7 linked regions of the Ovis aries genome follow. The protein of the gene in region 6 interacts with the protein of the main gene of each other region in a pairwise test. Links are inferred from orthologs where the notes say so. Each region holds a gene or a part of one and is shown on either strand. Other genes may lie near its edges.

Region 1 (4,268 bases), on a different chromosome or scaffold from region 6:
CACTTTAATGTGGCTTGACTCTTGGAGTGGGAATGAATTCATGCATTCATTCCACAACCCTTTATAGAGCATTTATAGAGCTTAGCACTGGTGCTTCCGATACCTGGAAAATAAAAGCCCTTTCCCCACGGGGGAGACAGGTAAGTGTCTAGGCAAAAGCATTGCATCTTGGGAGATATGCTTAAAGGGAAAATAACCAGGGCCTAGGATAAAGATAATAATAACCTGGCTGGGGAAAGGGGGTCCTGGGGAGGTGATAGTGGAGTTGAGGCCTGAGTGGCAAGGAAAAGGCCTTGTGAAGATCAGGGGAGAGTTCCAGGCAGAGGGAACAGCAGAGACCTCAAGACAGGAGTGAGTTGGTAGACGTGAGAACCAGGAAGCAGTGCCAGGAGCTAGCAAGTGAGACATCACCAGGGCTCCCCATGGCAAGACCTCCTCCCTGGAAGGCCTGTTTCACACGAAGGCTGGCCGGAGCATGAGGTGGGAAGAAGGGCACTGGTCCATATTCTTTAATACAAGAGCCATTCCTATCGCCTTTCTTTGAGACTCTCCAGTAATGGAATGATGGCAGGTTCTGTTAGGAGGTTATGCCATCAGCCCCTGCCTCCTGCCCTCCTCTGCTTGGCTTCATTCTCCTGTCTCATACCCCAATGTGGGCCAGAGCCAGTGCACTGATTCCCTGGGAAGAATCAGAAATGATCCCCAGCCACATACACCAATGATGTTTCCCCAACAGGCCCACTGATTTAATCCCCTGACCTGTGGACAACCCATTTGCTCCTGACTTCATGTGTGACTTTGAGCCAGTTACTTAACATCCCCAATCTTTCATCTCCTGATCTGTAAAATGAGGATCAAACCAGTCTGGGGCAAGTTGTTATGAGGATTGAGTGCCATCCCTCTTGGCACTCAGGAGATACTCCATGAATGTCAGCTTCCTTATTCTCCCTGAGCTTCCCCCACAAAGAGGGGCTGGTTTACAAAAGGGTAGGGAAGGGTTCCCAGGTGGTGCTAGTGGTAAAGAACACGCTTGCCAAAGCAGGAGACACCGGTTTGATCCCTGGGTCAGGAAGAGCCCCCTGGAGGGCATGGCAACCCACTCCAGTATTCTTGCTTGGAAAATTCCATGAACAGAGGAGCCTGGTGGGTTACAGTCCATAGGGTGGCAAAGAAGCGACTTAGCATGCACAGGCAGGGAAGGTCACAGCAGGCCAGTGCGGGGTGGCCAGTTTGGGGTTCCCTCCCCCCAACTCTGGGACCCTTTGGAAGGTGAGGGGCACTCAGGACTGGCCAGCCAAGGGTAGGGAGGCTACTCACCGATGGGTCCAGCCCTGCCGCCAGAAGAGCCCCTGCGTCTCCCCTGTGTGCTGCCCGGGGAGCCCCAGGGCCAGGCCACTTTCCCGACCCGCTCTTCTGCGCTCCGCTCCGGGCGGCGCGGCTCCTGGCACCTGCTCCCCGTGGGCCGCCCAGGGGCGGGCTCCGGGGACGCGGCGGCTGCCCCGAGACGCGCGGGCCCGGGACTCATCCGCCGCGCACCTCCGGGAGCCAGGAGCCGGGAGCCGCCGAGAATCCGGACCGCCCCTGGCGGCGGCGGACGACTGGATGCGGCCCCGCTCGGGTCGGAAGCGCCCTTCAGGTAGGCGCGGGCGCGGGCCGTGGGACCGCACTCCCGGCTCCCCATCCCGGACCGACGCGCCGCTGGGACTGAGCACCCAAGGGGGCCCGCGCGGGGTGGGGGTGTAGGTGGCTCCGTAGGGCTGGTGGCAGCAGCGAGGACCCTACCCTGCCTTGTGTTTTGGGAAGGTGGGCGACAAGAATCACGAGGCCGAGAGGGGGGACAAGGGTGATGGCCAGAACTTTTAGCTCCCAGGAAGTAGGGGAAGGGAGGCTGGCGACCATAGGCCAGGGACAGCGAGACTCATCCCGAGAAGGGACAATTCTCCGCAGACAGGGGGATCGACCACAGAACCTACCTTTTTTGTCTAAGTTCTTTAGAGACTCCAAAAATCAACTCCCACCCCATCAGCCCCTGAGATAGAACAGAAAGGAAGGGGTGGGGGATGGGAGACCTATTGTCTTTTGGGGGTGGGTGCAGAGAGTACACTCATCCCCCCCACTCCGTCACCCCCATCTCCACTATTCACAGTCATTGGAGGCCGCCTCGCCTGCCCCTCCTCCTTCAAGCAGAATGCCTCCTCTTCTGTCAGGGTCAGAGGTAGAGGCTGGCCCTCCTGGCCTTTGTGGGAGGCAGGATTCCGCCTCACCCGCCCCTCCCCACCCACCCCCACCCGCGCCGACAAATCTCAAACAGCCCCGGACCTCTCAGCCCTCCTCCCTCTGGCTCTCTCTCTCTCTCTCTCTGACTCATTCTCTCAGCCCCATCTTGGAAGTGCTGACCCTGGGGCCATCACGATGGGGAGCCTTGTTTGGGGGAGCTAGTGTTCAGGCTTTTGGGGAGTTGGGCCGGGAGAGCAAGCAGTGGATGAGGCTGAACTGTGCCAGGGTCCTGGGCAGGGGCTTTGGTGCGGGTTGGGGGGCTCTCCTGTACAAATCAGGTTCCTAGGCCTTGCCTGGAAGCAGAGGTCAGAAGAGGGGACACTGAGGCTAATCCCCCCGCCCCCACCTTAGAGGCAGCTGTTCTGTGTTACCACTGTGGGCCCTTCGAGGAGGGATGCAGCTGAGATAACAAGAAAGACTTCCTTCCGGAGGGTGGCCAGAGGATCTTTCAGGGGAGAATCAGTGTCCAGGAGAGGCAGCCCTTATCTCTAGGGTGTTCAGAGGAAGAAGGCCCTCTGGGACTCCCAGCCAATAGGGGGTGAGGATAGCCTGGGGGGATGGTGACCTCACCTCTGGACCATTGCTCTTGTCACCTCTCATGCCCTCTCTCTTGCTTCCTTGGAGCCAGAGTGTTGACTTTCAGCACCACTTAGCCAGCTCACTCCTGAAAACCCCAGCACCCAGCCGTCCCCAGGGAAAGGTGACAGGCTTCATCTCTCATCACTTCGGATGGGACAACAGACATGACTGCCTTGGTTTGTCCAGTGGATCCCTCCCACCCCCACCCACAGCAGCCCAGCCTCAGGGCCTCCTGCCTGGCAAAGTGGGGACGTGTGAGCTGGGGGTGGGAATGGCTGCCCCCAGTCGGGCCATCCCACTCCTCTAGGTGGGAGTCTCTGACTCCTTTGGGGAGTCTTGGGTATGACCATGGGTGACCCCAGCTCTCTGGGCCATCCCCTGGGGGTGCCGCTCTGTGGGGGCTGCACAGTGAACACCCTGCAAGGTGTCAGCCTTGGGAGAGCAGAGTGCTTGGTGGTGGCTCCTTGGGGGCCTGTGGGGGGCAGCCAGGCCCAGGAGGGCTCACACTCCACAGGACAAGAACAGATGAGGCCTCTCTTCTTCCAGACACGGCCCCATACTCCCGCCTGTGACCCTGGGAGTGATGGGATGGGGGCTGCCAGGCTGTGTACCCCTTCCCCCTGCATCATAGGATGAGGCCTGTCGTTTCGATTGTGAGCCTCAGTTTCCTCATCTGTAGAGCCTCACAGGGTTGCTCTGAGGGTTAACAGAGGTGATGTCTGTCCAGTGCCCGGAAGGCAATGGGCACTCGCCACAGGGCAGTTCTTTCTCTGTCCCCACCCCACCTTCCTCTGGCTGCTGAAACAGACAAATACAGCTTGGCGTCCCCCCTCCACCCCAACCTTAGAGGCAGCTGCTCCCCGTGGCCACTACAGCACCGCCTGCAAGGGACCTAAGAGATTAGCCCAGCCCAATCCGCTCTCCTTGAAGACAGGGAACTGAAGCCCAGAAGGGCAGGGCTGGCCCGACTTTGGCCAGCCAGCCAGGCTCCCTTCTCAGAGGCAGCGCAGGGGACCTGGCTCGGGGATGCGAAGGGTAGATATTGGCAGACCTGGGGGAAAATACCAAAGTGTAACTGGGCTCATTAAGGATTAGGTGAGGGAGCCCTTCATGCCCTGCCAAAGGCTGGGGACAGGCCTGGAACCCTCCTCTTCTGTTAACCCTTTGCAAAGACAGGTCTTCCCCAAGAACCCCCTTCCCCAGGATGCAACCACTTCCCGCTCTGCACTTGCGGCCTCCGAAGAATTTCTCTCTAGCCATATTTGGGTAGTGCAGTGCCCAAGGATGCCACTGACACCTGGGGCCCCGAAGTCCACTGACACTCAGCAAGAAGGGGTGGAAACGGGCTCTGGAGCCATATCTGAGTGCTCCCTTCCCCCAAGCCCCCTCTACCTCCGTGAGGACAGACACAT
Region 2 (3,980 bases), on a different chromosome or scaffold from region 6:
CTCACTCATACATTTAGTCATTCAACAAATTTGGGGGAGGCGGGGGGTAGGCCTCAGAGATACAGTTTTGATATTCAGTTCTATACTTTCATAGAACTCTAAAAACATTCTAAATCATTATGACTGCCTTCTTTTCCTTCTACCTCTCTGACTGCTTCTCAGTCCCCTTTGCATTTTGGTTTCCCAGCTTCTGCCTTAGGCTCTTCACATTCTTCTTCTTTCTTGATTAAAGACTTTTTATTATTTTTACTTAGAGCAGTTTTATGTGGGAAGTTTTAGTTTTGAGGGGAAGATACAGAGATTTCTAGGTCTTGGTTTCTGAAAGGGACTTCTTTCGCGTAAGCAAACTCGTAGGTTTTCCTGGTGGCTCATTGGTAAAGAACTCGCCTGCCAATGCAATAGACACGGGTTCAGTCCATGGGTGGGGAAGATCCCTTGGAGAAGGAAATGACAAACCACCCCAGTATGCTTGCCTAGGAAGTCACATGGACAGAGGAGCCTGGTGGGCTACAGTCCATGAGGTCACAAGAGTCAGCTGTGACTTAACTAAAACAATTAACAAAGCATACCTATTACATGCTAGGCTTCTTACCAACCTAATCCGGTTTAAGCTTCATAAACTGGTAAGAGTTATTATCATCGTCTTTATTTCACAAGTAAGAAGACTGAAGTTGAAGAGACAAGTAACTTTCCTAGTCACATTCAGGGCAGGGATTCGGATTCAAATGGATTCACACATAGATTTGAGACCGTCTCAACCTTTTTTCCTTGCACCAGTCTCCTCCAGTTCCACTGCCCTTGTATAATCCTGGGCTGGATCACCACTGTCAGTGTATTTTAATTGCCCAAGGAATTAGCTGGGTTTTGTTGTTTTTTAAAGAAAGCAACAGGCATTTCACTGACTCTGTGTAAGTTTTTAGAGAGGTCTTGTGTGAGGAAACAAATCCAGAGAATGTCAGCTTGTTTACTAGATTCTTTCAGATGAATTTCCTCCGAAGCCTAGATCTCAGATCTCTACCACACCGCGCAAAATTTTTCCGTCTCCAAGGCGACAGAGAGTAGTCCCTCCTTTCTCGTTCTCTCGCGCGTCTGGATGACATCACACGGCGAGGCTCTCTGACGTAAGAGTTTCCTGTCCACCATCTTTGTACCGGGCAAAGTGGGTTTTGCGCAGTGGCTTAGACCTGGAGAAGGAGTCGTGACGTGCAGGAAACCATTACAACATCGCTCGGGCCGTGCTCTCTGGCCGCTGCTGCCACCCCCGCCCTTGCCTACGGTGAGTTGTAGGCGGCTACCTCTGGGGTGTGTCCCTTTTTGATGGGGATGGGGGATCCCCAGACTTGGTTGGAGACAGGCGGAGGAGAGGAAATCCGAGGACCGTGACCGTTGAAGATGGAGTGAGCCGTCGGGTGTGACCGTTGTGAGGAAGAGGGTTGGAGAAAAGGACTCCACCGCTGGGGCGGGGCGAGGGAATCCTCGGGGTGGGAATTGGGGGGTATTGGGGGAAAGATATGTTCGAAGTCGGGGGGTTAAGAGGGTCAGAGGCCAGGGGTGTGGCTGGCGGAGACCGGAGGCCAAGGAGAGAACCTTGCTTCTTCCCGGTTTGGCGTCGTTCTCTGAGAGGCTAGGTAGGACATGCTCAGCTCAGGAAAGGGAAAAGGGGTTCCCCAGAGCTTTGCTCCTAGATGGGTAAACCTCGCCGTCGCCCGTCATTTGAGGTTAAGAGACGCCTCTCTGCTTCGTAATGGAGGAACATAGCCGTAGAATTTTTACCACCTCGGGAAAGAAGAGGAATTCCTGACTCCGAAGATAGGGAAGAAAAACCCAGAGAATTGACCCGATATGAGAGAGGGGGAAGCTCTTGAGAGTAAATGTTAGCCCGGAGTTTTTTCTTCGGGGTCTTAGAAGGAACGGTCTGGTTTGAGAAAGGCTGTGGATTAGACAGAGGTAAAGAAACTGGAACTTCCTGTTAATTCCATTTTTTTTTTAATCCAAAGAGTTTATTCATGCTGTTAGTTTTTAACAGCACTCTTCTATTTGGGGGCAGACTCTTTTTTAAACTCCATTATGAAGCGGTGTGAATAAAATGTGGCTGCTTCATTAAACTTTTCACTTTTAAAGGTTTTAAAAATGCCAAAACACTGTTAACAATCCTTGTAGTTTAAAGAGAAAGTAAAAAAAAAAAACGCAGTAAGTTTAGAAAAGATAGAATGACCAAGAAAGTGGTCTCAGTGAGGAACAATTTAAATTATTAATCACCTTCCTGGTATACTTGTGTTGCTTAGCTTCAGGGTACACTTACAAAGTAATAATAGAAAGCAGCAGATGAAGGAGATGCAGCTGTGCAAGAAAACGTGTAACACTTTGCCAGTGGTGACTAAGCCTGGTGGGAACGTGAGAACTGTTTACAGGTATTTGACAGTTTAAACTCCCAAAGAAGCCGAAAGTAGAGGGTGTTCTGCAGATAGCTTCACTGAAAGCTGGATGGTAAAATTAGTATAAAGCTAACATTCTGTGAGGGCTTCCCTGGTGGCTCGCCTGCAGTAGGCGTGGGTTTGGTCCCTGGCTTGGGAAGATCCCCTGCAGAAGGCAATGGCAGGCCACCGCAGTGTCCCTTCCTGGGAAATCCTATGGACAGAGAAACCTAGCAGGCTTCAGTCCATGGAGCTGCAAAACAGTAGGATGTGACTTAACCACTAAACAACATTCTGTGACTTAAGAGACTCAAGAAAACCTGGTTCTTCCATCTTTTTTTTTCCTTCTTTAAACACACCTGTATTTTTAGTCAGTTCAGTTACTCAGTCGTGTCTGACTCTTTGCCACCCCATAGACCGCAGCACTCCAGGCCTCCCTGTCCATCACCAACTCCCGAAGTTTACTCAAACTCATGTCCGTTGAGTCAGTGATGCCATCCAGCTATCTCATCCTCTGTTGTCCCCTTCTCCTCCTGCCTTCAGTCTTTCCCAGCATCAGGGTCTTTTCCAGTGAGTCAGCTCTTTGCATCAGGTGGCCAAAGTATTGGAGTTTCAGCTTCACCATCAGTCCTTCTAGTGAATGTTCAGGACTAATCTCCTTTAGAATGGACTGGTTGGATCTCCTTGTAGTTCAAGCGACTCTCAAGAGTCTTCTCCAACACCACAATTCAAAAGCATCAATTCTTCGGTGCTCAGCTTTCTACCTGTGTTTTAAAATATTACATTTAAGGCACAGTTCTGAATCAAGCTGAACAAGTAACAAATTAGGAAGGACACATTTTCTTTTCTTCCTTCTCTCTCTCCAGGCGTTAAGTTTTCCAGAGTTTATTTCAATTAAGAATTGGATGTGAAACTTAAGACCTTTTTTCTTACTGTATGATATTAGCAGAGTACTTTGTAGTTAAATGGGAATGATAGGTATGTCTGTTGTAATGAGTTATCTGTTGTAATTTTGTATGCAATAAATGATACATGAAGATGTGTTATTGAAATGTGTAATTAGCACTTCTCATCCTTATGCTTGTAATGAAAGATTACTAAGATGACCTGTCCACTTTATAATTTGGTTTAATTCTGTTCACTTTTTCCCTACGGGCACCAGCTGTGTAAAATCCAACTTCACGTGAAGAGAGTGGATTTACTGGCCTCACCAACTCTAAATTAGCTGCTATTTCCCAGAGAGCCATTCGGAGTTAAGACCCCTATTAATTTTTTTCTGGCCTTATTCTCTTTAGGGGCACCAGAAGGAAGGAGGGATAGTTGAGAAGGGAAAACTGTCACAGCCTATATTTAGTAGAAACTAGGTTATGTTAAATCTAGATGTGTAATCCTGTACAGAGAGGCCTTTTCTGAAATGCAGTGACATCACACTCTGGGCTAGGAAAGTTAGAGAAATTGTGCATTTGACTCTGTCAGCCTCATTTATGTTTTAAAACGATGTCCTGAGGCCATACCTCAAGCCGGTAGAGCAGCCGATGGATGACTTGTCTAGTTTGACCTGGTAAA
Region 3 (3,500 bases), on a different chromosome or scaffold from region 6:
ATCTTTAATCTTATTTATTTCCAATGAACTTATAATTAAATGTAAATAGACACAGGTAGCCAGGGTTACAGGCTTGGACAGGGTAGATCCAGACCATGTTCTCTAGGATCCCTTTTAAGTGATCTCTCATGTGCTCCTCAGAAACACCCCCTAAGGGGGAAAGCAATCGTTTGTTTCGCCTGCTGTTTTCTCCCATGTATATATCTATACTTCAAAAGCAATACTTGCTTATTGTAATCAGTTCACAAATCAGATGCATAGAGTAGAAGTGAACGCTCCTCCCCTCCACCTCTCCAGTATAACTTTCCTTTTGAGGCCCAGAGACTCAGGCTTGGAATTTGAAATTGGCTTTTCTGATTCTTGGAAGTTTCTTTTGCCTGATGACCATGCTGTTGTGTTGGCAAGGCCATCTGGAAGGAAAGTGAAAAGAGAGAGTTCAGAACCTCATGAGGTCCTGGGTGTGCCCAGAGCTCAGGGTCAGGTGACTGTCTGCAGGACAGTTTTCTGTTGAGGGGTGTCCCCTGGTCAAGTGCACCTGTGTTTGCTGGGTTCCCGAGCTGTCATTGGGTCACTTGAGGTACAGGTTGGTTCAGCTTCGTCTCACCAAAAAATCAGTAAAATTGCTTCAAAGAAGATATTCCCCTCCAATTTGGGTTTCAAGTTTTTTTTCCCCATTGTTGTCAAGATCCTAGTCTTCTTACCATCCTTAATTTTCATGGGAATGATTTTCCTAAGGGAGTATTGGTGAGAAGAAGGAGAATGTGTTAAAAAGTGATTTAACCTTTCTGATTGTTATGTTAAATCAGGCTGCCCCTCACACATCGCTGCCCAATGCTGCTGTGGAGTGCAGCTGGTCCCTAGGAAAACGGCAAAACCAGCTGTTCACTCTGTCCTGGTGCAGTTGAGAGAGTAAGGAGAGGAAATGTAAAGGGACCTTCCGTAGGATTTTCCCCTTCTGTGAACATTTGTGATGTCCTTGTCCACTGGGGTGGTGTGCATTACCATCTGTGTAATGCAATTGAAAGATGGTAGGTGTTGGAGACAGGCAGTCCCACATTCAAATCCTAGCTGCACTGCCAGATTTTCTATCTGCTGAGAATTGGAATAAGAGGGTTGTTATAAAAGCTACAGGAGTAAGAGTCCTGGTACAACAATTGGCACAGAGGCAGTAATTAGTAACTTTAAGTTCTTTTCTGCTTAAAAAAACTCATGAATAAACTCTGTGAGCGGCTTTATGTTTCCTAAAGAAGTACTAGCACCCCTCACTCAAGTATTCCCAGCGTTATCAGTTTTTTGGTGTTTTCTTTGCCACTTCCCTTTTCTGACACCCTGGCACATGTTAAATGTTGGACCACCAGCTCTTTGGGGAGAAAAAGCCATGAATTGTACTGTTCCCTAATTTCTGTACATGAAAATGGCCACCACGGACAGATTTCAAGCTACCAGCATGTCAGCCAGTTCACAGAATGCCTGCATATTTCACCATTGACTCCCGAGTCTCAATCAGCCAGCTACAGCACACCGCTGCTCGTGTGCCTTACTTTCCAAGGAGTGACGTACCTCACACAACCTCATTCGTCTGTGTCTCTGATCTAGCCCAGAAGAAACGGAAAAAGGACAGGAAGAAGCATCGGCCTGCTGATACCCCAGAGGACCTGCCTGCAGCCCCGGGGCAGTCCATTGATAAGAGTTACCTGTGCTGTGAACACCACAAAGCCATGATCGCCGGCCTTGCGCTGCTGAAAAACCCGGAGCGGCTCCTAGGTGAGGAGGTCGCCACAGCCTTCCACAGTAGGAAATGTGTAAGATTACAGATGTCATCAGAGTTGGCTGCCTTGCAGCTTAAGAACCATGATTACAGACCAACAGATGCGCACATATTCATGTCTTTCTTATTCCCAACTGTCTTTCTGCATCATTCATGAACATCCAAGTAACTTTTCCCACAAACTCAAATTGTAATCTTGAAATAGACATACATGCTGATATCTATATTTTTTTCTTCTATGCATTTATTTAAAAATTAGTGTAAAATTTACAGTTTTAAAAATTAATGTATAAAATATCTTCAGTGAAATCTATAAAGTGAATGGATCTTAAATTGTTCAGCTTGATGAATTTTTGCATATCCATATACCCTGTATCCAGATGGAACATTTAAAAATCATATCTCCAGAGAAATACCTGTGTGCTTTAGGAAAATTTCTGGCTTTTCAGTGATGCATTCTTTGAGTGCCAGATGTAATTCTTTCTTGAATTTCTGCTTTTAAAAAAATCCATAGTATAGGTAGTACAGTCATAGCCTTATCGCTGATAATAGGTTGGGATCTAACCACAGGAGCAAAAATATTTGTTTCTGTCCACTCCTGTAGCTGTCTTCTCCCCGAAGTCCCTGAGTATGTCCTGCTGAAATACCCTATACTTGTGGTCTATCTTGGTGCTGATGTGTGTCAGTGGATTCTCAGTTGTTACATTTAATCCTCAGGGTTTCTCTCTTTGGCGATTCTTTCTGGTTTCACATTTTCTTTCATCCCCTGTTTCTCTGAACTTGAGTGTAGGATCTGGGCCTTTGTTTTCCTGTGACTTCTGGAACTTGGATGGACTTCCTTCACTTGTTGGGTGTGTCTTATTAAAGGTAGCTGTGGCCTTTGAGTTGGAAGCTGGGCAGAGGGCATCACATCTACATGCCCTGTGATCATGGACAAGATGTTGCCCATTGTCCCTTCTGTTTCCTAGAGGGGTTTAATGATGCTGATGGTGGGGATTATTGCTGTAATGTCCGCTGAGGGCTTTGCGATGTTTAAGGAACCATAATAATAATATACTGATTGCTCTTCTGGAACTAGTAAAGGAAGGATCATGAGGCCAGGGTTGAATTTACATATATTAAATTGACTCCTGAATTTCTAGAAAGAGACAAGGGAGGCCAAGTCTCTAAATCTTGTATCTTCTGGCTAGAGTGAACAATCCGACTGTCTCTTTTGTCCTCTCTAAGGCTGGTGCAGAACTTTACAGTGAGCAGATGGTAACATAATGCTTTTATTCTTTATTACAGAGACCCCACTGGCACTGTTGGTGGTAGGCCTGGGCGGGGGCAGCCTCCCTCTCTTTATCCACGATCATTTCCCAAAGTCCTGCATCCATGCTGTGGAGATCGACCCCTCTATGTTGGAAGTGGCCACCCAGTGGTTCGGCTTTTCCCAGAGTGACCGGATGAAGGTCCACATTGCAGATGGTCTGGACTTTATAACCCGCCTGGCAGAAGAAGAAGGTACTGCTTTTGGAGAATTTGGAGGGGTGTTGAGGAAAGATTGATCCAAGGTTGTCAGGCCTGCAAGGGGCTGTAGAATTCATCTCTAAGAGATATGAGCATCATCCCAGTCTTTCACCTGTTCATTTGTTCCCTCATTTATTGACATATTTATTCAGTAAATATAGAGTGTCTTAGAGAAGGAAATGGCAACCCACTCCAGTGTTCTTGCCTGGAGAATCCCAGGGAC
Region 4 (3,973 bases), on a different chromosome or scaffold from region 6:
AGAAGTGCCTTTCTCTGCTCCTGTGAGGGGCTTCTGTCCTTTCTCTGGCCTTTCCTCCTCTTCCAGATCTAGTGTGGACAGTGGGCGCGGGAGAACTGAGACCAGCCTGAACCTGCTTTCAGAGCCCTTATTTCAGGACTCTGAGGGCAGCCCTAACACTGAGGGTTCAGAGGTGATTTGGGGAAAACTTTTGGTTGCTCTGAAAATTTTTTTATCCTGTTTTGTCTAAATCCCCTGTCTGCAGGTGAACCAGTGTGTTATTGGCACAGCCCAGGCCAACAAGAAATGAAGATGGATCTAGATTGTGTGTGTGTATGTGTGAGACACACGGGGGGGGGGGGAGGGGGGTAGTGGGCGCTGATACCTGGGCCTATCAAATAAAGAAGAGAATTTTTTGTTGTTTTTAAATAAAGGTTTTATTAGCGGTTGTCCAATAAGGGGGGAGCTGTGGCTCTTCCATTCTGCCAAACGTCTGTGTCTCACGGGGACAGGGCTCCGGCTTTTCTAACGGGTCACTCCAGAGTCAGGGTGGCCCCCGCCCTGCTCCCGTCCCTATCCACGTCCGGGGGGTTGCGCGCACCAGGTGTCCAGTCACTAGTTCCGCTTCCTCCGGCACAGGCCACCCTCGCCCGGGGCAGGAACTCTTGAGTGCGGAAAGGTGGGAGTCCGGGGCGGGGCCGGCGCGTCCGCCCACAAGCTGCGGGCTCTCTCCTCCCGCTCTTTTCCTTCCCTTTCGAACCGCCGGGGCTAGCTCCGCCCGCCGCCATTGGCTGGCTCTCGGCGGCGTCACCGCCTCGGTCCGAGCTCTTCTAGTCGGTGCACCCGCCTCGGCCGCGCGGGGCGGGGCGCATAGGCTAACTCCCTCGCGCCAAGCGCCGAGGGCCGCCGCCCCGTCAGAGGGCTGGGTCTTCCCAGGTGCCGCGCGCGCGGGAGGGGTCGCGCGTGCGCAGAGGCGCGGCGACAGTGGGCGGGGTGGGGGCATCTAACTCCGGGGGGGCGGGGCCGGGGCAAAGGCGGGAGGAGGCGGAGCCCGCGGAGGCCGGGGCAAAGGCGGGAGGAGGCGGAGCCCGCGGGGCCGGGGCGGGGCGGGGGCCATGGGACGGGTGAATGGAGGGCGGGGTCGTGAACTGGAGCGCGGGGCGGGGCCCGGAGTGACCCTGCGGGGCCGGGGGCAGTTAACGGATGTGGCGCGGGGCGGCGGCCCGGCCGGCGGCCTAGCGGGGGATTCCCTCCTGCCCCGAGGGCAGGCCTCTCTCCGGAGGAAGGGGCTGCGGGGATTCCCTCTCCCGCCGGGTCCGCGAGCCCGCCCGCCCCATCCACGGAGACGCTCCCACTCGCTCCGCGCCCTCCAGGCCCGCTGGCGGTGAGGGAGGTGGGGTGAGGAGGTGCCCGCCCCCCCGGCTCCTCCTTCCCCCCGCCCTCCCCTCCCTCCACCCTCCCCCCGAGCAGGTTTGTCCCTCCCCTCCCCTCCCCTCCTTCCCCCCGCCGCCTCCTCCTGCCGCTGCCGCTGCTTTGGCTGCTGCGTCATACGCCCCAGAGCCGCCGGGACGGAGGGGCTGGGCCTGGGGACCCCCCGGTCTCTGCCTGCACGCCCCCCCGACGCCCAGCCGTGCCCTCCCCGCGCGGGGGTTTCACCTCAGTCTCCCACGTCTGCCTCTGCCCGGCTCCCGGCGGCCCCAGCTGTCACTGGTAAGGAGGCGGCGGGAGGCGCCCGTGGGGGGGCAGGGAGCCGGGGGTCGGCGCGCAGGGCGCGGGCGGGAGAGCCGCGCCGCCCGGGCGGCGGGTCGGGCTGGGCCGACTCAAGCCCCCTCTCCCACTCGCCGTCCTGGGGAGAAGAGACCCGGACTGGGACACGCCCCCCTCCCGGGGCACTCAGGGAAGTTCTCTAACCCGGGGGCAGGGAGCCCCGAATTTGAGGGTGACCTGACATAACCTAGCACCAAGATGATTGTTCTGAATGAGACACGGGGGCCCCGGAGGCAACCTTTTCCACTCGAAAACATCTCCAGAAAAAGCTCCCAAAACACGTCTCTGGGAAACAGCACCCCAATTGTAATACCTCTATAAACAGCGGTAGAAGGTGACAGTAGAAACTGAGTGGCAACCTTTGCCTCTGCAACCATCCTTTTTGCTAAAATCTCAAGGCCGGGATACAACGTCCCAGGGGAGCTCTGGCAGCTGGGAAACTAGAGAACTAGGTTGGTGGGGTGGGGGGACGGTGGGGAGAAGAGAACCACTGGTGACTGTTGGGAGAGCTGGAGTCAGGAAGGCCCAAGGGGTGCCCAGGGGTTTCCTACCCAGGTGTCTCAGGGAAATGGAGGCTGGGCACACCTGCTCAAGCCTTTGACAGAAAAACAGGCAAAGAAAATGGGGGCTAGTTCCTCAATATTGGTAACTTTCTCCTACCATCTCACTTCTAACTAGGCCCCCCCAGGATGCAATGGCACAGCCCCCCCGGCTGAGCCGCTCTGGTGCCCCCCCACTTTGGGACCCAGCTTCTCCTGCTCCCACCTCAGGCCCCCGGCCTCGACTTTGGGAGGGTCAAGATGTGCTGGCCAGATGGACAGATGGGCTGCTATACTTGGGGACCATCAAAAAGGTATGACCTCTGACCTGTCACCTTTTCTCATTCCCCTTATCTAGTCTGATTCCTGTTCCATCTTCTGTGCTCACCCATTCCAGGTGGACAGTGCTCGGGAGGTGTGTTTGGTTCAGTTTGAGGATGATTCCCAGTTTCTGGTTCTATGGAAAGACATTAGCCCTGGTGAGAAGCCTGAGAATGGATCCAAGGGAAAACAAACCTGGCATGGGGGACAGAAAGGGGCTGGAGGACAGGCCCTCTGACACTCTGTTCTCTCACAGCGGCCCTCCCTGGGGAGGAACTCCTCTGCTGTGTATGTCGCTCTGAGACTGTGGTCCCTGGGAACCGGCTGGTCAGCTGTGAGAAGTGTCGCCATGGTGGGTGAGAGGGCAGGACACCTGAATGGTCTAGCTTGCCCTAGGTCTACCAGGGTGCTTCTGATCCTTCTCTCCAGCTCTGGTCCTTATACTGTCTGTCCTGGTCTGAGTCCCCAAGCCACTGCTCTGAGCAGTCTCCACAAGCCTGTAACCTCACTCCCTGCCAGCACAGGGAGGGGCAGCCTTGGGATGGGATGCATGAGCTCTGCGGGCAGAGGGTGTGAGTGAGCAAAAGTCTCTCAGTTGTGTCTGACTCTTTGCTACCCCATGAAAAGTACAGTCCATGGAATTCTCCAGGCCAGGATACTAGAGTGGGTAGTCTTTCCCTTTTCGAGGGAATCTTCCCCACCCAGGGATCAAACCCAGGTTCCCCACATTGCAGGCAGAATTTTTACTAGCTGAGCCACAAGGGAAGCCCAAGCACAAGAATACTGGAGTGTGTAGCCTATACCTTTTCCAGGGGATCTTCCTGACCCAGAAGTTGAACCAGGGTCTCCTGCATTGCAGGTGTTCTTTACCAACTGAGCTATCAAGGAAGTCCCAGATGCAGGCAGAGGGTAGTTCCAGTACGGCTTTTTCTAACCATTTGACCTTGGGCAAGTCCCTAAACTTCTAAGAATCACAGCTGCCTCACCTGCTTTTAAAATAAAGATAATACACCCACCTTACCAGGACCATGGTCAAGAACAAAATGAGATGGGGTTAAGACTCTTGTCCCAATACCTAGCGCGCACAGGTACGCAATGCAATAAGTGGTCTACTGTCAATATTCTCATTATTCAGCTTATCACCAGGACTGCCACGTTCCAAGGGCTCCAGCCCCTGGAGAGGGAGAGGGCGCATCCTGGGTCTGCCGCCAGTGCGTCTTTGCCATCGCCACCAAGGTAAGGGCCCCTCCCTGTGGGACCTCCAACTCTCAGCCTCTCCTGGACCCTTCCTTCCTCCACCCCTGAGGCCACCTGTCTGTTCCACCTGCAGAGGGGGGGTGCACTGAAGAAGGGCCCCTACGCCCGGG
Region 5 (4,010 bases), on a different chromosome or scaffold from region 6:
TGAAGTAGAAGGTGCCTCCTGCAGTGGAAGCGTGGAATGTTAACCACTGGACTGTCATGAAAGACCCTAGCAAACTTTTCATTCCCATTCTTCGCACCCTTCTTACACTACAGGACTTTGAAGGAGGCTCATGATGCCAGCTTCAGGAAGCAAATGTGCAGTCACTGACAAATCTGCAAGACCTGGGCTACCAGGAATTCCCACAGGCTCTTACATGAGAAGCCTAGAGCCATTGCCTTCAGATAACCTGGCCTCTAAGCCCTCTCTGGGAGAGATGCTCAAGATATATATATTTTAAAGCTCTGAAATCTAGCATTTTGGAACTAAATGACTCGAAGAGAATTAAGCCCATACCTTTCCCTGCCACACTGACTTATAACGTGTTAAAATAAGTCCATAAAAACTAAACCAACCAGGTAATTAAACAGAATAGGAAACAGACCCTGAAGAGGTGATGTGCCTGTAATTCCTATCTCCTAATTCCCAACAGCTCCTTTTTTCCCTCCAGACTCAAGATCTTACAAAGGCCAAACTAGAACCAGACACATGCTGATCTAACTGCATTTAGTGGCTGTAAGGAGGGGCAGGCAAAAACCTAAAAAAGATACTATCTCCTTGTTGCCTATCCCCTACCCATCCAAGCCCTGCCTGCAGACGGGTCCGAGTCCCGACATACTACTTTCAACCCTAAAGTTCTACCCCAGGCTTCACGGTCAAGAAATTGTATCAAGAAAAAAGGAAGGAGGTACACGATCATTAACGGGTTCTTAAACCCTTTTTCCTGCCGCCTTCCAGGAAGAAGGGGCGAATCTCCGAGGAAAGGGGCCTGCAGATTCTGCAGCCCTCGCGGTGGCCCCCTCACTTACACAATCCGAGGACATTTTGCTCATCTTCCGGGGGACTGTGGACCCTGGTCGGGATCCTCCTCCCGGGTATATTCGAGGCTCCAGGGGCCTTCAAGTCCCCAAACCCCGCCCCACAAAGTCCTCTGAAGTCCTACCAAGTCACTCCCATGGTGTCGTGCCAGGAAGATGGGAGGATCAAACAAGTGAAATGCGCTGTGCTCCAGCAGCCCACAAGAGGAGAAACCACCTCGCTAAAGCGAGCTCCAATGGAGGCAGGCGCTCCGGAACTTACGTAAAAACACAGCGTCCAGTCGACACGCCCACGAGGAAGGGCGTGTCTGGGTCCTTCGGTGAGGTCACTGCCCGACTCCGCCCCGCCCCCGATCCCCTGGTTCGCCGGTCAGGGAATTCCCATTCGCCTGGGCACCCTGGACCCAGATCCATGAAACTAGGAAAGTGTATCTCGGACTACAACCACTTAGAGAAGACAACGTTAAATTCGGGAGGACCCAGCTCCAGGACCCGTGAGCTCTTTTTGGGGGGGGGGGGGGGTGGGACGGGGCTTCTGGCACACCCGGCCTCCAGACGCGAGGGGGCGCTGTGAGCTCCGGTGGGCTCTCGGGCGCTGGGTGTTTACCGCGCAAGCGCACTCGGGGCCTTTTTTTCCTCCATACCCACGTGGGAAACTTCACGGCTTGGTTTTCTAGAAAAATGCCCAAGTTCAAGGCGGCCCGCTCGGCCGGGGGTCAGGAGAAGCATGCGCCGCTGGCCGAGCAGATCCTGGCTGGTGACGCGGTGCGGGCAGGAGCCCGAGAAAAACGGCGGGGTCGCGGAACCGGAGACGAGGAGGAAGAGTACGTGGGGCCCCGGCTGACCCGACGGATTTTGCAGCAAGCGCGGCAGCAGCAAGAGGAGCTCGAGGCCGAGCATGGGAGCGGGGACAGGCCCGCGGTGCCGCGGGAGCGCACCACGCGGCTGGGTGAGTGGGGGGGATGGGGTACGAGGAGGAGGGTGGGTAGCTGGGGCGGACGGCTGAAAGGTGTCTGGCAGGGGAATAACTTGGAATTAAAAAACAACAACAACAAAAAACTGAGGCCCTTGGCAAAGGTAATGGGGTTGGGAGACCCAGCTCTGGGGCAGATTGAGGGTTGCCGGAGCCCTCCACGCCCATTCCTTAGAGTGGCACTCTTATAGGCATCACCGAGGTTAGGCCAGCAGGAAGTGGTTACTCACGCCGCTAAGTTCTCCTGGCATTTATTTACGTGTTTTGTAAGTAATCATGGAATGTCTACTACGCACATCCCGCCGTGCTAGGAGTTTAGATGGTTTAGATAAAAAACTGTAAACAGGGTAAAGGTATACCTAACGTCAGGATCTTCCAGTGTAGCCCGAGAGAAAGAATTAAGTAAGCAATTAGAATAATGCACTCGTGATAAAGTATAGCTTCTCTGACAATAGCATTAGTCTTGGGAGTCAGGTTTCCCAGGTTGCATGACCGTTGTGCTGAGAACTGAAAAGTAGGGAGTGCTCTGAGCACAAAGAACAATATTGTTTCAGGACTAGAAAGGGAGCGAGATTATTTAAAAGATGGTCATTTTTCTCGTTATTACTCTGAGAGTGTTGACCTCCAAGTTGCTTAATCCATTTCTCAACACTCATCTTTCATTTGTCTGTGAGCAGCATTCACAAACGGAGAAGGCAATGACAGCCCACTCCAGTACTCTTGCCTGGAAAATCCCATGGACGGAGGAGCCTGGTGGGCTGCAGTCCATGGGGTCTCTAAGAGTCGGACACGGCTGAGCGACTTCACTTTCACTTTTCACTTTCATGCATTGGACAAGCAAATGGCAACCCAGTCCAGTGTTTTTGCCTGGAGAATCCCAGGGGTGGGGGAGCCTGGTGGGCTGCCGTCTGTGGGGTCGCACAGAGTCAGACACGACTGAAGCGACTTAGCAGCAGCAGCGTTCACAAACACTAGCCTCCTTGCTACAGTATCTTTACTCCGCTTCTAAGACATCACATCCCTGTTTTGCTAGTTTTTCACCTCAGTGGGCTTCCCAGGTGGTGGAACCCACCTGCCAATGCAAGAGATGTTGGTTCAATCCCTGAGCCAGGAAGATCCCCTGGAGAAGGAAATGGCAACCCACTCCAGTATTCTTACCTGGAGAATCCCATGGACAGGGGAGCCTGACAGGCTATAGTCAGGAAAAGTCCACAGGGTCACAAAGAGTCAGACACGACTGAGTACACGCACACACCTCTCAGTATCCTTTGCTGGCTCCTATTCTCCCGCTTCCGACGCCTGCTGGTGGGATCTCAGTTCCCCTACCAGGGGTTGAACCCTGAGCCCCAGCAGTGAAAGCCCAGAATCCTTACACTAGGCCACCAGGGAGCTCCCTTTGCTGACTTCTCGTTTGTTGCCAGCCTCTTCCTGTAGTGCCACAGCATTACATCCTTGGAGCTAGTCTCTTCACCTCTGATGACTTCCCTGGTGCTGTCATCAGGGTTGAGGTTTAAATACTGTCTGTTTGGTAACTGCTTCCAAGTTCATATTCCAGCCTCGATCTCTTCCATGAAACCCAAAGTCTTATATTTCAGCTCTCTCTTTAGCTTCTCCAATTTGAAGTCTAAGAAACATCTCAGATTTAGCATGTCCAGAACAGAAATCCTGACCATCTTGCCAAACCTGCTCCACTCCCAGTCTGCTTCATCTCAATTAATGACATGATGTCCTTCCATTTGCTCCAGGCAGAAAACTCTAGACTTGTCTCTTTCTCGCTCCATATCCAATCAATTAGGAAGTCCTGTTGACTCTGCCTTAAAAATATATCCAGAATCAGATCAGTTGGCACCATCTTGGAACACCATCCTGTTCAAACCACAGTGATCTCTCACCTGGGTGACTGCAGTAGCCTCTTACCGAGAATCCCGTATCTGCCACAGTCTACTCTCCACTCAGCAACTCAGGATTGCCTGATCTACAGAGACCTATATGATCTGTACCTGTTGTCAGTCTGACCTCTCCTGCTCCTTTCCCTTTGCCCTCTTCTCTCCATCCGGGTCAAACCAGCTAGTTCTAAAAGAGATCAGTCCTGAATATTCACTGGAAGGACTGGTGCTGAAGCTGAAGCTCCAGTACTTTGGCCACCTGATGCGAAGAGCTGA
Region 6 (3,027 bases):
TTGAGTTTCCCAGCAGTTGCTGCTGTGTCTACTTCTAGAGGCACTTCCAGCAGGAACATTCTAGGAGTCTTTCTCAGCTTCTACATGGTAGTGGGAACAGATGTTCTGGGCAAAGAGAAGGGTAGATTAGGGCTCCACGACCATAGCAGAGTCAGGCTCGAGCGTATCTCACTTCGTAGAGAAACTGGGACACAGAGTCGAAACACCCTTTTTTGGCTTTTTTTCAATCCCCCCCAACTCACTGAATCTTTTACCTGGAAAAATAAAATAAGTTTAAAAGCTTCGTATCTCTCTTTATCTGGGCCTAATGGATGTATTTCAGTCAATTAGGTAAATTAAAATGAATACTTTTTTTCCTTATCATTATGATTTGGCTACAGTTTGATTCATATTTGTCAAGATGATTCTCAAGAAAACAAAAAGCTTCTTTGTCTCGGTACATAGTTATAAACGTGCAGTTTTGTTTTACAGTACACAGAGGATCACTGGTAAAAAAAATAATAATAATAATACAAATTCAGTCTATACCATGTGTATTTTACCCCAGATTTTAGTGTCTTCAGTATAAAAAGTTAAGCATTAAAGACTGAGATAGGTGGATGGTGGAGCTATATGGTTTACCCTTGTATCTTAGATGTGTCTGTTTGCGAAGGTTATTTACTGCAAAAGAGGGGAAAACATCACATGGGCCCTTGAACCTACCCTCCTATCACCTGCTCTGCCAGCTGCGTGCATCTGTCCACGTGGCTGCCTTTTAATAAGTATGTTTTTGCATAATGTAAATCCTAATGAGCCTGACGTATTTAGATTGTATACATCATTATATCTGACATTCTTACAACTGCTTTGTGATCAATAAGATTCTTATAAGAAATCCTGGTTTAAAAAAAAAAATACCATGCTAGGAGGGGTGACTTATTTTTCACACTAGTGATGCTCACTTTAGTTACAGGATTTTAAAACAAGTCCATTTTTTAAAAAGTTTACTTTAGGTATAGTTGATTTACAGTGTTTCGTTGGTTTCTGCTGTACACCAAAGTGATTCAGTTATACACAGCTCTGCATTTTTTTCCCATGTTCTTTTCCATTTGGGTTTATCTCAGGATTTTGACTACGGTTCACTGTGCTACACGGTAGGACCTTGTTGTTTATCCCTTCTCGTATGTAACTCCAAACTCTCAGTCCCGCTCTTCCCCACTCCCCTCCTCCTTGGCAACCACAGGCTTGTTCTCTATGTCCACACAAGTACATCCGTAACATCTAGGGTGATAAGGGTACACCTGAAAAACTGTCGAAAAAGGATTAGTGGGAGCAGGTGTGTTAAGCAAACGCCTGTGGCGTGTGAACACCGGTGGTTGTAAGCTAATTCTTCTCTAAGCAGGAACGCCTGGGTGTGCCTTTTTGTTTCTGAGTAAGGCTAGAAAACGGAATCATTTCATCTTCTTAGGTTTCCTCTTACTCGACCCAGTCTTTGTAAGAAATGGGAGGCAGCTGTCAGAAGGAAAAACTTTAAGCCCACCAAGTACAGCAGCATCTGCTCGGACCACTTTACCCCGGACTGCTTTAAGCGGGAGTGCAACAACAAGCTGCTGAAAGAGGATGCTGTCCCCACGATATTTCTGTGTACCGAGCCGCACGACAAGGTGAGGGGCGTGTAAAGTACTGGGCGGGTCTCTTTCCATAAAGTTAATGTGTTCAATGGAAAATCTGGAAAAGCCACAGTAGTGTTAAGAATATAAATGTTACCTGGAACCCATCCCTTGTAAATGACCCCTGTTCACAGCAAAATACTTCAAAAAATACAGAGTGTTTAGTAAAGTTAAATATTCTCACACTAAGACACTTCAGCCTAGCTTTTAACTTACTTTAAGATCAGTCTGTATTCCTGCTTGTGTGTTTATGTAGCCCACCAGGATCCTCTATCCATGGGATTCTGCAACCCAGGAGTGGGTTGCCATTTCCTTCTCCAGGGGATCTTCCTGACCCAAGGATTGAACCCACGTCTCTTAGATCTCCTGCGTAAGCAAGCAGGTTCTTTACCACTAGCACCACCTGGAAAGCCCCATGTTCCTGCTTGAAAGTGAAAGTGAAGTGGCTCAGTGTCCGACTCTTCGCGACCCCATGGACTGTAGCCTATCAGGCTTCTCCGTCCATGGGATTTTCCAGGCAAGAGTGCTGGAGTGGATTGCCATTTCCTTCTCCAGGGGATCTTCCCTACCCAGGAATCGAACCCAGGTCTCCCGCATTGCAGGCAGATGCTTTACTGTCTGAGCCACCAGGGAATCCTGGTGTTCCTGCTTATATGTTGATAAGTTTTGATTTTCCTTTATGATGATAGTTAACTTTCAGAGTATTTTCCCCCTCAGTTTTCAGTGCTAGTGTTTAATTAGATCCGATTAATCATTTTGTCTTTTTTGCATCCCATTTCTACTTCAGGTAAAAAAGGAAAATTAAAACTTCTTTTCATTTTAGACTGTTTCTATGCCAAGGAGGCAGAACTAAGTCTAACATTCTTATATTGCACAGGTGCAGAATTTAGTGTGTTCTTTTAATCTGTTACTTTTAATAATGAAGCTCAAACACGCTCTGCGTCTTTGTTCCAGAAGGAAGATCTCCTGGAGCCACAGGAACAGCCCCCGCCGCCTCCTTTAACGCCCCCCATTTCCCAGGTTGATGCTGCGATCGGGTTGCTCATGCCTCCTCTTCAGACCCCCGATAACCTCTCCGTCTTCTGTGACCACAACTACACCGTGGAGGACACCATGCACCAGCGGAAGAGGATCCACCAGCTGGAGCAGCAAGTGGAGAAGCTCCGGAAGAAGCTCAAGACTGCACAGCAGCGGTGCCGCAGACAGGAGAGGCAGCTGGAGAAGCTGAAGGAGGTGGTGCACTTCCAGAAGGAGAAGGACGGCGCCTCCGAGAGGGGCTACGTCATTCTCCCCAATGACTACTTCGAGATAGTCGAAGTCCCCGCGTGAAAACGTGAGATTTGTATTGGTTTTTCATGGGGCAATACCACCTACCCTC
Region 7 (4,239 bases), on a different chromosome or scaffold from region 6:
AGAGGGAGAGAGTGGGATGATTTGGGAGAATGGCATTGAAACATGTATAATATCATATAAGAAATGAATTGCCAGTCTAGGTTCGATGCAGGATACAGGATGCTTGGGGTTGGTGTGCTGGGATGACCCAGAGAAATGGTATGGGGAGGGAGGTGGGAGGGGGGATTCAGGATTGGGAACACATGTACACCTGTGGTGGATTCATGTTGATGTATGGCAAAACCAATACAGTATTGTAAAGTAAAATAAAAAAATTTAAAAAATTAAAAAAGAACCAAAATACTAATTCTTGTTGGTACAAAACTTAACATGTATATTAAACCATTAAAGTACTATAAAATATAACTTCCTTCATTAACAAAATGTGTCCATCATTTTAAGGGAAAATAATAATTTATAGAACAATATTTACAGCATAGCTTCATTGATTTAAATCATTGTTTCTATAGTATATATTTTAATTAAAATTATAAAAATGAAAGGATATGCACCCAGTAAGTTTTAGTGAGACTTATATCATCTTCCTCTACCACATGTGCCTGGCACATGGCAGGCACAAAAATATAATAGTTGAATGACTAAATAAATGAACTGATGCATTGTTGGTATAATTGCAAATTGTGATAATTTTTTCTGGAGAGAAGTTTTGCACTATGTATCAAAGAGTAAAATGATCAGGCAGTTTATTTCAGGACTCTCATTTCTAGGAATTCATCATATGGCTAATTTTTACAAGTGCATAGAGTAGGTATCTGAGATAACTATTTTCTAACAGGAAAAATACGTCTACTAGTAGAGAGGTAGTATAAGTAGCTGCTGTACAATAGGAATCTGGTTAAACTACGGGAAATATTTTCATGGAATATGCATCTATTTAAAAATGAGATGTTCAACCATTTACTGTGAAAATATAGCCACAATTAATTGATAAATAAGCAGATTACAAAACACAATATGATGTCACATAGATAAAACAGCATGTGTAAACAGGCATATGTATATATTTACAAAGAAAATTCTGGAAGAAAATGCATCAAAATTCTAACAGTGGTTATCATTTGATTGTGTTTGTATTACCATTGAAATTTTCTATGCTGTATTTTTCCTTACAATACTTACATACTTTGACAATCAGGAGTAAATAATAAAAGTAAATTCATTTATAAAATAGAAATAAAAGTGTTTCCTAACTTAAAAAATACAACTAAATAAGCACAAATTCTGTAATAAAAAGGAAAGATAAGAGGTAATCTAACTTTAATACTTTTCCTCATTTGAAATGAATAATTCATCATATTTTATATTTTAATTTGTTACTTGTAGTCTATGAGCAAGTTCAGAAAAGTGAATGTGATTAATTAGGTTATTTTCTACATTAGTATTCCAAATCACCTCTGTGGATTTTTCTGCTTCCATGGAACTAACAAGATATCTTCCAAATAAAAGGCTACATCTTGTGAATTTTTATTTAAATATAGATAGGTAATTCTTGTCATTCATAAAAATGGGCTAAATATGTTCCTTACCTTTCAATGAAAAGTAAACACTGGTCTTTTTGGTTGTACCAAGGGAGTCGTTCTGTTGCAGAAAAGAATCCTGTAAATAAAAATAACAGATACCTGTTTTTAAACTTCATTTTGCAAAAGTGTATTCATCTATTACTGAACCTGTAAATCATACTTCAGTATGGCTAGAATTGTACAATGTTAGAAGGAAACTGGTGGCAGATGCCATTGTAAAGTACACCCTGACAGAGGATGCAGTTTCATCAACACATTCCCCCTCCCATCCTGCTATTCGTGAAATTAAAAGCTGCTGCCACAAAAGTATAGAATAAACCATCTGCTTTTAAATACTACTACCTAACATTTGAATGCCCGTTTATCCTTTTTATCTACAAGATTGTTAAAAGCATGGAGAAAGACTACGTGGCAAATCACCAGCAAGGACAGGGTCTATGACATGTCAGATTAAAAAGAGAAATACAGTAAAAAAAAATGGTGTAACTGACTCACGGCAACATGGGTTCGCAAACCTTGTAGATGGATATAAAACAGGCTTGCCAAACATCACAAACAGCACTTATTAAAGCTGCTACGTGGAATTCAATATGCCTGCTTTCTAGCCCCTCCCCCCTTCGCCAATAAACGACTCCCCCTTTTTACCCAGTGTAAAAATACATGCTCATAAGACATTCAGATAAAAGAAAGAGAATTTAAAAAGAAATCCATAATCATACTATCCAATGATGCCATTTGGAGCATTTTCTTCCAATTTTTTAAGAACAGCTTTTTGTCACGAGGCCCCTGACAAACCAAATGGGAATTAAGGATGAGTGGATGGGAGCGTACTCCTCTTCCCTTGTTAGGAACCATGACTAGTATTTTTACCTCATATCTAAGCTTTTTTTTTTTTTTTTGAAATTATAAAACTATAAAGACAGAATTTTAAGGGGAAAAAAGTCTTCAGTGGTGTGTGCCTCAGCAACCAAGGAGCGACTGGAAAGGAAGGCGGAGCCTAGAGGCGGCGGTGTGCTTGCGCACTTATTGGGCTGATGCATTGTCAATCAAGGTCAATCAAGTTTGTCTAGCAAATGAGGTGCGAGCTAAAGGCACACTGGGAACTAAAGGAACTGGAGGTCTGACTGCGAGGGGAGGGGGCTCAAGATGTAAGCAGTGAAGAGATCTCGGGCTCTCGCAGTGCGATATTCAGCTGCGTCACACCTCAGTCCGCCGCAGCTGCAGGTCAGAGAGGCCTTGCCTCCACCACTGTCGCCCAGGCCTCCGCTGCCGCCGCCACCTCCGGTGCAGTCACCTCGGCCCAGCCGCGCCCCGCCCAGCGCTCCTGCTGCCTTCACCGCTGCCACTTCCTCAGCCCCGGCTTCCGCCGCCACCACCCAAGCATCCGTGAGTCATTTTCTACCCATCTCTGGGCACGCGGTAGTGACCACCTAAGAGGTTTGCAGACTTGCAGAATGGCAGAAGCGGATCCTAACAGGGTCTCGGAACCTGCCGCCCAGGGGGTGGATGGAGAGATGGTAGCTATCTCGTCTAGCGATTCTGGGGACGAATCTGACAGCAGCAGCTGTAGCAGCAGCAGTAGTTGCAGTAGCAGCAGTGGCCGCAGCCCATTCTATAGACGTATAAGTGTACCTGGGCCCTCCAGAAGTGTGAGGCGGGCTCCGTCAGGTAGAAGTTTCGTGGATCAGCTGCCTCGGGCGGTTAGAAATCGTGTGCAGGCTCTCAGAAATATTCAAGACGAATGTGACAAGGTAGACGCCCTGTTCTTAAAGGCAGTTCATGATCTCGAACGAAAATATGCCGAACTCAATAGGGCTCTGTACAACCGGCGATTCCAAATCATCAATGCAGAATATGAGCCCACGGAAGAAAAATGTGAATGGAATTCGGAGGATGAGGTGTTCAGCAGCGATGAAGAGATGCAGGAAGACTCTAGTGAGATGCCTGCTTTAGAGAGTGAGGAAGAAGAGGATGACCTGGAAGCAAAACCTGAGGTCAAGGCTGAAGAAAATGTAACACCAAAAGAAAATTCCGAAGCAAAGACTGAAGAAAAAGCACAGTCCAAAGATGCTCTGGAGGCCAGGCCTGAAGTAAAAGAAGATCCAAAATAAGCCCTCCAGGCAAAGGCAGAAGATAAAGGGCAGGCTAAAGCAGCAGAGGCTAAGGCAAGGACTCCAGGAAAAGAGGCTCCAAAAAGAGTTCCTGAGGTCACGCCTAAAGATAGAGCTCTTAAAAGAGCTCGAAAAGGAAAGCCTAAAAGATAAGATCCTAAAGGCATTCCTGACTATTGGCTGACTGTGTTCAAGAATGTTGACAAGCTGGGGCCCATGATTCAGAAGTATGATGAGCCCATTCTGAACTTCTGTCTGATGTTAGCCTGAAGTTTTAAAAACCCAGCAGGCCTGTAAGTTACACATTTGAATTTTGCTTTCTACCCAATCCATACTTCAAGAATGAGGTGCTGACCAAGAGATATATAATAAAGTCAAAGCCAGATCACAATGATCCCTTCTTCTCTTGGGACTGGGAAATCCAAGATTGCAAAGGCTGTAAGATTGGAGAAGAGGAAAGGATGTTACAATGACAACCACCCAGAGTTGCACAGCAGCTACTGGACAAGTTGAAACCCAGCCAAGAGTGGTTCCTGATGCATCATTCTTCAATATCTTTAGCCCTCCTGAGATTCCTACTATCGGAAAGCTTGAACCACGAGAAGATG

What was found.
Region 1: the proteins of THAP1 (region 6) and ZNF385C interact in a two-hybrid assay, tested with the Homo sapiens proteins (3 studies listed by BioGRID). The two-hybrid records come from large-scale screens. The link is inferred for Ovis aries from reciprocal best matches to the Homo sapiens genes THAP1 and ZNF385C.
Region 2: the proteins of THAP1 (region 6) and AP2B1 interact in binary tests that used the Homo sapiens proteins (3 or more experiments, as listed by UniProt). The two-hybrid records come from large-scale screens. The link is inferred for Ovis aries from reciprocal best matches to the Homo sapiens genes THAP1 and AP2B1.
Region 3: the proteins of THAP1 (region 6) and METTL13 interact in binary tests that used the Homo sapiens proteins (3 or more experiments, as listed by UniProt). The two-hybrid records come from large-scale screens. The link is inferred for Ovis aries from reciprocal best matches to the Homo sapiens genes THAP1 and METTL13.
Region 4: the proteins of THAP1 (region 6) and PHF1 interact in binary tests that used the Homo sapiens proteins (3 or more experiments, as listed by UniProt). The two-hybrid records come from large-scale screens. The link is inferred for Ovis aries from reciprocal best matches to the Homo sapiens genes THAP1 and PHF1.
Region 5: the proteins of THAP1 (region 6) and BYSL interact in binary tests that used the Homo sapiens proteins (3 or more experiments, as listed by UniProt). The two-hybrid records come from large-scale screens. The link is inferred for Ovis aries from reciprocal best matches to the Homo sapiens genes THAP1 and BYSL.
Region 7: the proteins of THAP1 (region 6) and FAM133A interact in binary tests that used the Homo sapiens proteins (3 or more experiments, as listed by UniProt). The two-hybrid records come from large-scale screens. The link is inferred for Ovis aries from reciprocal best matches to the Homo sapiens genes THAP1 and FAM133A.

What each region holds. Positions count from the first base shown.
Region 1 is NC_056064.1:41,946,880-41,951,147, reverse strand, and holds the start of ZNF385C (zinc finger protein 385C), read left to right. Parts: upstream 1-1,468; 5' UTR 1,469-1,602; coding exon 1,603-1,636; intron 1,637-4,268.
Region 2 is NC_056064.1:14,480,627-14,484,606, reverse strand, and holds the start of AP2B1 (AP-2 complex subunit beta), read left to right. Parts: upstream 1-1,180; 5' UTR 1,181-1,420; exon of another isoform or gene 1,421-2,411; intron 2,412-3,980. UniProt on the Homo sapiens protein: Component of the adaptor protein complex 2 (AP-2). Adaptor protein complexes function in protein transport via transport vesicles in different membrane traffic pathways.
Region 3 is NC_056065.1:38,471,624-38,475,123, forward strand, and holds part of METTL13 (eEF1A lysine and N-terminal methyltransferase), read left to right. Parts: intron 1-1,596; coding exon 1,597-1,764; intron 1,765-3,055; coding exon 3,056-3,271; intron 3,272-3,500. UniProt on the Homo sapiens protein: Dual methyltransferase that catalyzes methylation of elongation factor 1-alpha (EEF1A1 and EEF1A2) at two different positions, and is therefore involved in the regulation of mRNA translation.
Region 4 is NC_056073.1:7,741,556-7,745,528, forward strand, and holds the start of PHF1 (PHD finger protein 1), read left to right. Parts: upstream 1-1,173; 5' UTR 1,174-1,689; intron 1,690-2,424; 5' UTR 2,425-2,440; coding exon 2,441-2,599; intron 2,600-2,682; coding exon 2,683-2,764; intron 2,765-2,862; coding exon 2,863-2,958; intron 2,959-3,741; coding exon 3,742-3,842; intron 3,843-3,936; coding exon 3,937-3,973. UniProt on the Homo sapiens protein: Polycomb group (PcG) that specifically binds histone H3 trimethylated at 'Lys-36' (H3K36me3) and recruits the PRC2 complex. Involved in DNA damage response and is recruited at double-strand breaks (DSBs).
Region 5 is NC_056073.1:15,721,276-15,725,285, forward strand, and holds the start of BYSL (bystin), read left to right. Parts: upstream 1-1,210; 5' UTR 1,211-1,369; intron 1,370-1,552; 5' UTR 1,553-1,556; coding exon 1,557-1,824; intron 1,825-4,010. Other genes in the region: MED20 (mediator of RNA polymerase II transcription subunit 20), read right to left, coding at 1,001-1,014. UniProt on the Homo sapiens protein: Required for processing of 20S pre-rRNA precursor and biogenesis of 40S ribosomal subunits. May be required for trophinin-dependent regulation of cell adhesion during implantation of human embryos.
Region 6 is NC_056079.1:36,885,326-36,888,352, reverse strand, and holds part of THAP1 (THAP domain-containing protein 1), read left to right. Parts: intron 1-1,447; coding exon 1,448-1,643; intron 1,644-2,603; coding exon 2,604-2,978; 3' UTR 2,979-3,027. UniProt on the Homo sapiens protein: DNA-binding transcription regulator that regulates endothelial cell proliferation and G1/S cell-cycle progression.
Region 7 is NC_056080.1:140,888,211-140,892,449, forward strand, and holds the start of FAM133A (protein FAM133A), read right to left. Parts: upstream 2,801-4,239; 5' UTR 2,391-2,800; exon of another isoform or gene 2,240-2,390; intron 2,085-2,239; exon of another isoform or gene 1,863-2,084; intron 1,597-1,862; 5' UTR 1,527-1,596; intron 1-1,526.